2 linked regions of the Oryctolagus cuniculus genome follow. The protein of the gene in region 1 purifies or fractionates together with the protein of each later gene. This does not show direct contact. Links are inferred from orthologs where the notes say so. Each region holds a gene or a part of one and is shown on either strand. Other genes may lie near its edges.

Region 1 (5,602 bases):
CTGTTTGTGTCCTTTGTGCCTGGACTGGGGTATTCTCCCTTAGCTTGCTGGCATTTCAGCTGATGGGTCTCTGTTCTCCCACATCCGTATTTTAGGTGGCAAGACATAGTGATTGGAGCCCCACAGTATTTTGATAGAGATGGAGAAGTTGGAGGTGCAGTGTATGTCTACATTAACCAGCAAGGCAGATGGAATAACGTCAAGCCAATTCGTCTTAACGGAACCAAAGATTCTATGTTCGGCATTGCGGTAAAAAATATTGGAGATATTAATCAAGATGGCTACCCAGGTAGATACAAGATGATGAAATGGTTATGATTTACAGATTGAAATTTTGGTTGTTATAATAATGAATGCTTTCCGGTGTCTTATTTTAAAGCATTGGAGTATTTTCAAAATGTAATGTTTATGAAAATGTGTTGTCAACAGACATTGCAGTTGGAGCGCCTTATGATGATATGGGAAAGGTTTTTATCTATCATGGGTCTGCAAGTGGAATAAATACCAAACCAACACAGGTAATCAAATAACCTGATTTCTACAGCTTGTCTCAGTTTTTAGCCTGTAATAGATATTTAGGTGGAAATGAGTTATCATACTGATTTTGTTTTATTCACAAGTCTACAAGTATGAATTTTGCCTTTTAAAAAGTGTATTACTGGAAGATAGCTCTAAAATAGATATATAATTGCAATGTCTTGCTTGTTTTAATTGTAAAATTTCTTTGGTAAGTTGGGAATCAAAGTCATTCAAACACAAGACTGCCCTCGTCTGACAGTATAAAGACATGGAAAAGGTGTGTATGGGTACTTCCAAAAGCTCATGGAAACACGAAATTAAACGATCACTCTGTTTTGGTGCATAAAAGCGCAGCCCTACTCATTTGAGGGCGAGGATGGAAAGTCCTGGAAGACTGTTGAGATGGGGTTGTACGAGCAGAGACCTCACGCACATCAGGTGTGCTCTCCATGATCTTTGGAAGTGCCCTCATCTTTCCCTCAGTAGCAAAGTAAGCAGAAGTGAAACTGGACAAGCACGTGGAGAATTCAGACCCCCACGTTTTTAAATTGCTTTTGAGAAAAGTGAGACTTGGGGACTAGAGAGGAGAGGTTTGATTAGAAATACCTTGGTTAATTTAATGCATTAAACTCATCAAAGAATGGCTCCTCTGTCCTTTGAGATACTGTGTAAATCGGGTGAAATAGAATGTCTGAAATGTTAGATCCTATGAGTACTTGTAATTTAATATAATTTAGCTACATGTGAACTCCTGAACGTCCATTCAGAAGAAAGTTGTGAGTCTTTCGGAGCATAGATGAGAAGTTCCTTTTGGTGTGCCCGTGCTCATCTGATGCACTGTTTTATTTCAGATTCTCGAGGGGACGACACCGTATTTTGGATATTCAATTGCTGGAGATATGGACCTTGATAGAAATTCCTATCCTGATGTTGCTGTTGGTTCCCTCTCGGATACTGTAACTATTTTCAGGTGTGTTATTTCAGACCTCAGTTAAGTATGTTCAGTTATCAGATTACCTTGACATTTTGACCTTTTGGATTGAAATTTGTAACATCTGCATTTCAAAGGCAAAGACTTACATGTGTTTGGAAGATATTTCATTTCTTTTGAGGGCAGTATAACAACATAGTAACACGTATGCTTTTTGACATTTTTATTTGCCTTCCTTTTTATTTGAGAGACAGAGAGATCCTCTGTTTGCTGGTTCACTTCCCAAATGCCTTCAACAGCTGGGGCTGGGCGAGGCAGAAGCCTCTGTGTGGGTCTCCCACACGGATGGCAGGGACTCAAGTACTTGAGCCATCATCATGTATGCTTCCCGGGGTGTGCGTTATGGGGAAGCTGGATTGAAAACAGAATAACCAGCACTTGAACCTCGTATGGGAAATGGGTATCCCAAGCAGTCATTTAAAAAAAAGCTGCTGTGTCACGTACAACTGCCGTGGTTGGTTTTCTCTTCACTGGCTTTATAGTCATTTCTTAAAGAATATGTTAAAGAAGCGGGCAGTAGCACAGTGAAACTGTTTTCCAGGTGTGCCTGTTAACACTCCTTGCCCTGTAGTCTTCCAGAATGGTGTCAGGTGTAGAGGTAGCCTCAGTATTTAAAATACCCTCACATCAACCCTGGGGCTTAGAAACCAGCCCCAGGACACTTCTGAAGAGAATATTACGTGATAGTAAATGACGAAAGTTGTTTTAGATATGAAAGCCATCCTGTATGAAAAACTGAGACACACAGAGGAAGCTACAGATGGCAAAATTAGGAGATATGAAAATCACAGGGAAGAGTGTATTTGAGATGCTACTGACAGTGTCCGGGGAACCACCAAAGCTGAGTAAACCAAAGTGCATGGACCCGTGTGTCTGTGATTTGGAGAGGAAGGAGCTTGGGGAAGCAGGGATGCATCCTCGTGCTCCTGGTGACGTCCTCCCCGAGTGCTGTGAGCCTCTCAACCTCCTGAGCCCTTGTAGCAGGCTGTTGCTGTGCTGTGTGTGCTTCTGGGCTAAGGCATCCAACAGTGGGCTGTCCGGTGTTCTGAGACACTGTCTTTAGATGCATGTTTCTCTGCTGATGCAGTTATCAACCTTAAAGTAGTTCAACAATTTTAAAAGGTGGAAGAATATATAACAATCAGCTATTTTAGCAAGAACGTCAATCAAAAAACAATGTGAAAAAAAATTTTGAAGGTGTAGTTCTAGTTTGATGGTTAGTTCAACTATTAACAAAACTTGACTTCTTATACCAAAATCTGGTTACCAAGTTTTCAACACCAACAGATGAGAGACTGACCTTTTTTTTTTTTTTTTTTTAAGATTTATTTTATTTATTTGAAAGGCAGAGTTAGAGACAGGGAGAAGGGAGAGAGAGAGAGAGCTATTTCCTGTCCACCAGTTCCCTCCCCATATGGCTGCAACAGCCAGGACTGGGCCAGGCTGGAGCCAGGAGCCTAGAACTCCATCTCCCACGTGTGCAGCAGGGGCCCAAGCACTAGGGCCATCCTCTACTGCTTTCCCAGACACATTAGCAGGGAGCTGGATCAGACTTGGAGCAGCTGGAATATGAACTGGCCCCTATGTGGGATGCCAATGTTGCTAGTGGTGGCTTAACCCACTATGCCCCTATGACCTACCTTTCATCAGTTAAATATTTGCCTGTGTCCATGTGTAATTGATATTTTGATAGTCTTGTTGCCATGTGTAATTGATATTTTGATAGTCTGTTGATAGTACTTTAATTTCCTGTCGTCATAAGCGGGTGGACTGTGAACCCAGCAAACTTGTTCCTCCTTTCCTCATGGACCTTAGAAAAGTGAATTTCAATATCCTTTGATAGCGAGAGGCGTCTGAGCCTCCTTATTTCACAGCTGAGGAAGCTGTGGCCGGCCTCACTTGAGCTTTCAGGCTGGATTCTGTCGTCCTGGGCATTTCTCCCACGAAATCCTCCTAGGACTTAAGGACACTTAGTAGATATATACCAGGTAAACATGAGGCAGCCAAGCCAGTAAGATTTGCTTTATGTGTCGAGACACACTTTTCATGATTCACGTGTTCTGTGCCTTCACAATTGTGTGTGTTAAATAAGGTAGACAGGAATGGTATATTAAATGGAATTCATGACACGCATTAAAGCATTAATAAGATGACACATGAAACATTACATCTGGGGCAACTGATTGTAAAATACTTGGGAGAGCTGCAGTGGATTAGGCAATGGCCCGGGACTCCGGCATCCCATTTGAGTGCCAGTTCAAGTCCTGGCTACTCCACTTCTGATCCAGCTCCTGTTAACAAGCCTGGGAGGCAGCACACGGTAGTTCATGTACCTGAATTCCTACCTGCCACATGGGAGACCATAATGGAGTTCCTGGCTCCTGGCCTCAGCTTGGTCCAGCCCCAGCTGTTGAGGCCATTTGGGGAGTGAACCAGCAGATGGAAAATCTCTGTCTCTCTGCCTTAATAAAAATAAATAAATGGGTTTTTTTATTTTTAAGAAGAGGGTACTTGTGAATGTTTGCCTTTTAAATATGTGCATGCTCTCAAAACTTTAGCGTGTACAAAGGATCTTCAAAATGTTCATGTAAACTGCTTATGAAAAAACTGTGCATGAATTTCAAGATTTCTTGCCTGAAAAATACACTTGAAAATGTCCATGAACTTTGGAAGGAAACTTGTATGTAGTTAATATCTTTGAAAGTGGCATCTGTCTAAATATAAAACAAAAGTAGAGAGGTAAACAGTGGAGCTAGAGAGCACGCAGAAACCTGCCCTTTATCATGAAGGGGCTTGTGCCCACTAGCCCACCAACAGATTGATTCCACAAGTTTGAGCTGACTGTTTGGGATTTGGAGTGCATTTTCCTACAAAAGCATGGTTCTCTGGTATGGTTGGGCTTCCCACAAGCCCCCCAGTGTCAGCCTAACTGACTGCGCATGGTAGTGGAATCCTAGAGCCCGTTCTGAATTCCGACCTGGGAGTGCTGGAGGGGAGAGCTGAGGCAGCACCTCCCAGCCCTCCCCCAGCTCCCATCCACAGGCTTGCGGAGGTCAGGCCGGTGGCCCCTGCCAGCCCTTTGCAGAAGCCGGGGAGAATTCTCCAGGGAGAGAAGAGGTGTTCTCACAGAGTAAGCGGGCTAAGGGTGTGAGACTCCTGCTGGTTAAGTGTTTGCAGGGTTGGGGTAGGCAGAGCACAGAGGGGACAAGGGTAAGGGATGCGAGTTCTTGTTATAGACACTATGAGGATGGGTCAGTTCTGGCAGCAGGGGGACAGGGGCTTATGGCTGGGAGAAGGGAGATTTGCAGGAACCATCCACATTGCTGATAATCACCCTGACAGCAGCCCAGGCAACTGGTGTGTTTTGGTGTAAGTCTTTCGGGGTGTAGTTTGGCAAGATCACTCTAATTAAAAATGTACACATTCTTTGGCTCAGAAATTGTGCTAGAAATCTGTCCTACAGGCAGTGTGTACATACATATACATCGAGAGAGAGTTTTCAGACGAGCAGAAAGCCTAGTGTCAATGTCTACTGATTAGGTGCTGGTTAAATAAAGGATGTGCCATTGCTACAAGGCAACACCACCAGGTGCAAAAGACACTAGATCTGTGTGCATAGATAGGAGGTGACCTCTGAAATATTAATGAGAAAAAAGCAGTTTTCAGAACAATAAGCATATAAACAGCTCCCATGTAGTTGGCGTTATGTGTGTATTTCAGTATTTGATTTTAGGGAATAGTTTTAGCAGAAACACAGTCTGGAAGAACATACAAGGCTAGTGGGGGTTTTGGGTGGAAATGGAGACATAGTATGTTCTCTGAAACATGTGTTCCATAGGTGACTCAAATCTGTTTATAAATTATTAAACACAGTATAGTTTTAAATAAATATTGTGTAAGTGGCATACGCATCTATGTATCCACAGTTCCTGGCTTCAGCCACAGTGGAGGGGGCGGGGCAGCAGCACAGGAGCAGCTCTTTCCCCCACCCTGTGGCTTTGAAGCTGTCCGGGGCAGCCACGGATGCCTGTGAGTGAATCTCTAGGTAACAAAAGGCTGAGCTGCCTTTTCACTCCTTTGTCTTCAGATCCC
Region 2 (6,327 bases), on another chromosome or scaffold:
GTGCCGGAGCCCAGGCCCCCCAAGCAGAAAGCTGAGCAGCGAAAGGCACTGGGGTGTGGTGGGGGTCCGGGGCGTGGCTTCCTGTGGGTCAGTAGTGGGTGGCAGGGAGCCCAAGCCCCCAGACAGCCGAGCAGTGACGGGGCGTGGCCGGCGCGGTGGGGGTCCGGGTATGGGTGTGACGGGGGCGTGGCTTCCTCCGGCGTCAGTAGTGTCCACTCAGCAGCGAGGCGGGGAGGCCAGGCCCCCTCAGTAGTGCTCCAGCTTCAGGCTCCGGTACAGGCAGCAAGTGAAGAACATGCCGAAGACCTGCGGAGCCGGGCTGTGAGCGGGCGCCAGGGCCGCGGCCGCGTCCCCCACCACGGCCCGGCAGGCCCGCACCTGCACACACGCGATGCCCACGCCCACCGCGCCGATGACCCGCAGGTGCTCCTGGATGAAGGTCTCCAGCTTGGTGATGCAGCCGCCCTGGGGGTGGGGACAGGTGCTAGGGGCGGGGCCGGGGCCGGAGCCCCGCCCACCTCCACCTGGCAGACGGGGCGTGGTCCCGCTCGGCAATCCGGGCCCGCCTACCTCCACCTTGTAGATGTTGGAGGCGTGGTCCCGCTGCCCGCAGTTGGGCACCACGGTCTTGCAGCAGCTGTCAGGGACCACGCGGTCCCCGGCCTCGCTCGAGCGGATCCACTCGCTCTCCCGCCAGTCCCGCGAGCTGTTGCTGCCGCAGCAGTGGAACTGCAGGGCCGAGAGCAGGGTCGGCTGAGCCGCCACGCCCGCCCCGGCCACCAGGCCCCCCCTGGGCCCCACCCACCTCCTGCTGCAGCTTGTCCACCGCGCTGGTCACTCCCTCGTGGCCTGGCTGCCGGTACTGCCTGGTCATGGTGCCCTTGAGGTTCTCCTTCAGCTCTGCGTTCAGCTGGGGGGGGCAGCTCTTCCAGGTCAGGCGGGGGGGCGGGGGCGGGGCCGGACGCCTGCCCCCCGCCCCCCCAGGCCCGCTGTGAGCCGCGGCGCTGCCTTGCCCCCCCCAGCCCTCACCTGCTGGTAGTAGACGTAGGCCAGGATGCCCGCGATGATCTCCAGCAGGAAGATGAGCAGCAGCAAGAGGAAGTACTAGGGGACAGACACCCCCGTTCTGGGCGGACCCCACGGGCGCAGCCCCCCACCCCACCCCCAGGGGCCCCACCGCTGACCAGGCGCAGCAGGTTCCTCCGCTCCTTGAAGGTGGCGCAGCAGCCAAGCACGCCAGTAACCATGACCACGACGCCGGCCACCACCAGGATGTAGGCTGTGGCCAGGTACGTGCTGGAGGCCAGCAGGCTGATGTAGTCACTCTTGAGGGCCAGCGTCCAGACCCCCACGGCCATGACGGCCAGGCCGGCCAGCTGCGGACAGCGTGCCGGGTCAGGCCGGGCCGGGGCCGGGCGCGGGGGGCGGGTGGCGCGGGCAGCCCCCCCTGCTCACCCAGAAGCAGCAGTTGTAGGTGAAGAGCAGGTACTTGAGGCAGACGGTGCCACACGTGGCCTTCTTCTCGCTGAACTCGCCCATCCTGGGGCTGGCGGGGGAGGTCGGAGGCCCGGGCACACGCCTGGCCGGGGGACCCGGAGATGCCCGGGCGCAGGGGGCAGACAGGACATGAGTCACTTCCCAGGGAGAAGGGCTCAGGAGCCCAGGACCCGGCAAGGGCTCCTGCTGACTCACTCCTGCCCGCGGCCCCACCGCGGGCTGCAGGCCCAGGACAGGGGCCCGCAGAGGCACCCCAGGGGCGGGGGACAGGGCTCTGCCCACCCTCACCGAGGCGCAGGAGCTGGAGGGTCAGCAGAAGGGCAGGTGTTCCCCCCCCGTGGGGGGGCACTGGGAGAGGCCTGCGGGCGCAGACTGGGGCTGGGGGGCACTGGGAGAGGCCTGCGGGTGCAGACTGGGGCTGGGGGGCACTGGGAGAGGCCTGCGGGCGCAGACTGGGGCTGGGGGGCACTGGGAGAGGCCTGCGGGTGCAGACTGGGGCTGGGGGGCACTGGGAGAGGCCTGCGGGCGCAGACTGGGGCTGGGGGGGCACTGGGAGAGGCCTGCGGGCGCAGACTGGGGCTGGGGGGGCACCGGGAGAGGCCTGCGGGCGCAGACTGGGGCTTGGGGGGCGCAGACTGGGGCTGGGGGGCACTGGGAGAGGCCTGCGGGCGCAGACTGGGGCTGGGGGGCACTGGGAGAGGCCTGCGGGCGCAGACTGGGGCTGGGGGGGCACCGGGAGAGGCCTGCGGGCGCAGACTGGGGCTGGCGCCCGGGGCCAGGTTTGCAGACGGGCAGCCCAGCTGCACTTTCACCTCCTGCCCCGCCCAGCACTCACCTGCGGCGGGAACAACGTCTCTGGGACAGGTGGGCGGAAGTTCCCAAGAAGCTGGGCTGCAGGGCAGGTAACAGGTTACTGGCCTGGCTCCTGCGGACAGGCAGAACCCTGCCCCAGCCTCCTAGCCACCAAGGCCGTGGCCAGGGCCCCCGGGAAAACTGGCCAGCAGTGGCCAGGCCCGGTATTTTTGTCTGGACAAGGGTGGGGCAGAAAAGGCATTCGGACAGTCCGATCCTGGGAGGGGCTTCGCCCCACCCATGCCCTCCGCCCACGAAAGAGCAGCTAGCGGGGCACAACCCCCCAAGTTCCACCCACGCCGCTGGGGAACTCAGACTCCCCGCATCAACTCCCGGGGCCACGCACAGCTGTGCCCCTGGGGCTGACTCAGAGGCCCCAGGCTTTGTGAGGCTACTGGGGTTGGACCGGATCCCCGCCACCCGGCCAGGCAGGGCGGCCCCTCCAGGGACGGCTGGTGGCCGTGAGCCCCCGGGGACAGGAGCGTGGGAGCCTGGGTGGCCAGAAATAGATACAGCGGCCGCGCGCAGAGCCGTCCCGGGCCTCTCCCGCGCCCCAGTGCGGGGGCTCCGGGGCTCCGCAGCTGGCGGGTTCGGGCGCAGTCTGCGGTGAGGTCACCGCTGGGGCCGGGGCCCGCCCATATGCACAGGGCAGGGGTGGGCCTGCGGGCGGAGGGAAGGGGCCGGGGTCGGAGACACTGCGTGGGGCGCTCGGGCTGGGAGTTTCAGGGCTCCGCGCACGGCGGGGACGCCCGCCAGTCCCAGGGTTCGGGAGGCGCCTCCCCCACCCCGACCGCCTGGCGCCGGGCTCCCCCGGAAGGGCCTGCGGCCGCGTCCGGCGGGCGTAGCCTCCCGCGCGCAAACGCCGGGCCCCGCGACCAGGCGCGCAGGGGCTGCGGGCCATCGGCTTCGCTCGTTCGGCCCGGCTCGGCCGCGCACTCACCGGCCACGCGTCGGAGTCGGCCCGGGCTGCGGCGCTGCGGGGGCGGCGGTTCCAGCGGAGAATGCGCGGCAGGGGCCGCTGGCGAGACGCCCCGCCCCCGACACGAGCTGCGGCCACGCCCGCGGCGCCGGGCCCCGCCCCCTGGACGGGGCCACGCCCGCGGCCCGCAGACAGCGCCAGGCAGGTCTGAGCCGGCTTCGCGAAGTGCGGGCCTCGGCGGAGGGAAGCGGGGCTGCGGAGGGGCTGGAAAGGAGGCAGAGACCACCGCGCGGAGGTCCCCGACAGCGGCGAGATCCGGCGGCCTCCCCGCGTCGGCAGAACCGAGGCCGGCCCGGGGCGGGGGAGGGTGAGGGGGCTTCGCGCCGGTGCGTCTGGGCCCCCACCCCCGGGGGTCTGTCAGTCTGTCAGTTCGGTTGGCAGGGCTGCGTGCCGGGAAACGCACTCGGGGTTGGCTGGTGAGCGTGGGAACCTCCACTGGCCGCCAGGTCCCACGGAAGGGACGGTGAGGGCTCGGGTGACGACCCACGGCCGGAAGCCCCCCGCCCCGCACCAGGGCCACGTGCCCCGCACAGGTACCGCGCACTTGCACGACGCCGAGGACGAGGCAGTGCAGTCCCTGGACTTTATTTGGCAGTTTTTATGATTTTTCCCCGCTGGACACCGATGCGGACAGGAGGAAGACGCCCCACTGCCCCCCAACCCCTACTCGGCCCCTGCGCCCGCAGGGCTTCAAGGCGCGCCCTGTCCCGCTAACGCCCTGTGCGTGGCTCGGGCCGGTCAGCGTGCACTGGGAAGGTGGCCGGAGCCACGTCTGGGGGGACGAGTCCAGCCGCCCAGCGTGGGCCCGGGCGGGCAGGCGGTGGCCGGGGCCTTCCTGCGGCCGGGGCCCAGCAGCCGGGCCTCACAGGCGTCCCTCGCGTCGCGGAGCCGCGTGTTCAGCTCCCTGGGGAAGGCAGAAGGCGAGGTCGGAGGGGTCCCTGCCCTCCCGGAGGGGCCGGGGCTGCGTGGCGCCCGCCCGCACCTGAGCAGCTCCAGCTGCCGCAGCAGGCTGCGTTTCTCCTTCTGCATGTTCCTGGACACCGCGACCACGTCTCTGCGGGCGGGGAGGGGCGGCCTGGATGCGGCGGACCGCTGGGGAGACCCCTCCCCTGCCCCGCAGGCCCTGGGGGGTGGAAGTGGCCCGGGCCGGGGCCGCGCCTGCCCCGCCCGCCGCACCTCTGCGTTTGCTCCTGGCGACCCCGCGCGTCGCCCTCCAGCCTGCGAAGCTGCTCCTGCGCCCCCTCGAGCTGCGCCCGCAGCGCCTCGTGGGCGCGCCACAGCTGGGCGTTCTGGGCCTGCGCCTCCAGCTGCTCCGCGACGCGGGCCTGCAACTGCTGCTCCAGCTGCGGGTGTCGGGGGCGGAGGCTGGCGAGGAAGGCCCGCCGCTTCCCGGGGAGCCGCGCCCGCCCGTTCCGGGGCCCGGGACCTCGGCAGGGCCAGGAGCGCTGGGGAGGGGCGAGGGCTGCGCGCTCACCTCCCGCTGCCGCAGCCCCGCGCGCTCCAGCTCCTGCTCGCAGCTCTGCAGCTCCACCTCCAGGCGGCCCCTCCACTCCTCCCGCGGCGGGTTCTGGAACGCGCGGGCACCTGAGCCTCCGCTGGCCACGTGGTGCGCGGTGGGCGGGGCGGGGCGGGGCGACGCGGGAAGCCCAGCAGGTGTGTCGGGGACCCGGGGGGGGGGGGGGACGGGGCGCGCGCCCACCTGCGTGCGAAGGCGCTGGCGCTGCTGGCGAAGCTGCTGCTCCAGCTCCTCGTACAGACAGCGCACCTCCCTCTCGTGCTCTCTTTCCCGCCTTCGGGGTCGGGCCGGACAGCAGATGAGAACCTGCGGGCGCTGCGGCCCCCGCGCCCGGCTGCTCCCGGGAGCCCCTCCGCCCGGCTCCCAGCCCTCACCGCCGCAGCGCCTGCTCCAGGCCGTCGCGCTCCCGGGCCGCCTCCTCCAGGCAGGCAGTCGCACTCATCAGCACGTCCTCGAAAGAGCCCAGCAGCTCCGGCCGCTCGCGCTGCAGCCTGGCCCAGAGCCCGCGCACAGCGCGCTGCCTAGAGGGAGCGGGTGGGGACAGGAGCTGGAGCGCCGAGTGCCACTGGCCAGCCCCACCCTCCCCTGCGCCCAGGACGGCGAAGGCGCGCGCGGGGCTCCCCACTGGCCAGCCCCACCCTCCCCTGCGCCCAGGACGGCGAAGGCGCGTGTGCCGTGCGCGGGGCTCCCCTCCCGCGGGTGCTCTGGGGCCACGCCTGTGGTGTGGCTGCAGGGCGTCCAGTGTTCCCGGGGCTGTGCCCCGCCGCCCCTCCTCCCTGCAGCCGCCTCCTGGAATGCAAATTCTGCGGGGGGTGGTGGTGGAGAAATCTCGGTGCCTCCCAGCTGTGGGAGAGGCTGGGCCCGACAGCCAGGGACCCAGTGTGGGAGCAGTGGTCGGGGCCGGTGCCCCGAGGGACAGCAGAAGGGGGTGGGCGGGTGCGAGTGCCCCAGGAGACAGAAGAGGGGACGGGGGCCCGCAGCACTCACCCCCCCAGGGCGGGGGCCACCCCCAGCTGCTCCAGCAGGGCTGAGATTTGCTCCTGGCCCTCCTGCTCCTCCTCCTCCTCCTCTCCGTCCTCCAGAGAGCCCCTGGCGCCCCGCGCATCTGACCAGCCCGACTCAAAGGTTTCCTCTGGAGCTCGGGAGGGGGCCGTGCCCTGGGCAGGCTCCACCCCCACGAACTTCCCTGTGGGCGCGAGGGGGGACAGCAGGACCAGGGTCGTCACCCCGCTGGCCTGCTCCGCTCCCCTCCCGCACACGTCCTGCCCACTCTCAGGGCCGAGTTTCCTGTTTTTCTTCCTCCTTCTGGTCCTATTGGCCCCGGCTCCACCTGGGGCTGCCAGGGAGGGGCTGGGGGGCAGGAAGGCCAGCTCTCCAGCCGCCTGTGCGCCCGGCAGGGACCCTGTGAGCCGGGCAGTCTCAGGAGGGCAGGCAGGGCCTGGGGCTCACCCAGGCCCAGGCAGAACTCGCGGGCGGTGAGGAA

The links.
Region 2: the proteins of ITGA6 (region 1) and CD151 purify together in Homo sapiens (co-immunoprecipitation; 3 studies listed by BioGRID and IntAct, with this or other methods). This does not show direct contact. The link is inferred for Oryctolagus cuniculus from reciprocal best matches to the Homo sapiens genes ITGA6 and CD151.

Annotation. Positions count from the first base shown.
Region 1 is NC_091434.1:68,625,734-68,631,335, reverse strand, and holds part of ITGA6 (integrin alpha-6), read left to right. Parts: intron 1-95; coding exon 96-289; intron 290-429; coding exon 430-518; intron 519-1,370; coding exon 1,371-1,489; intron 1,490-5,597; coding exon 5,598-5,602. UniProt on the Homo sapiens protein: Integrin alpha-6/beta-1 (ITGA6:ITGB1) is a receptor for laminin on platelets. Integrin alpha-6/beta-1 (ITGA6:ITGB1) is present in oocytes and is involved in sperm-egg fusion.
Region 2 is NC_091432.1:346,830-353,156, reverse strand, and holds the start of CD151 (CD151 antigen), read right to left. Parts: upstream 3,444-6,327; 5' UTR 3,290-3,443; intron 2,389-3,289; 5' UTR 2,333-2,388; intron 1,580-2,332; exon of another isoform or gene 1,547-1,579; 5' UTR 1,540-1,546; coding exon 1,456-1,539; intron 1,377-1,455; coding exon 1,185-1,376; intron 1,105-1,184; coding exon 1,030-1,104; intron 911-1,029; coding exon 806-910; intron 730-805; coding exon 571-729; intron 466-570; coding exon 379-465; intron 307-378; coding exon 247-306; 3' UTR 1-246. Other genes in the region: CRACR2B (EF-hand calcium-binding domain-containing protein 4A), read right to left, coding at 4,067-4,232, 4,311-4,382, 4,505-4,671, 4,803-4,895, 5,028-5,118, 5,219-5,365, 5,832-6,030, 6,294-6,327. UniProt on the Homo sapiens protein: Structural component of specialized membrane microdomains known as tetraspanin-enriched microdomains (TERMs), which act as platforms for receptor clustering and signaling.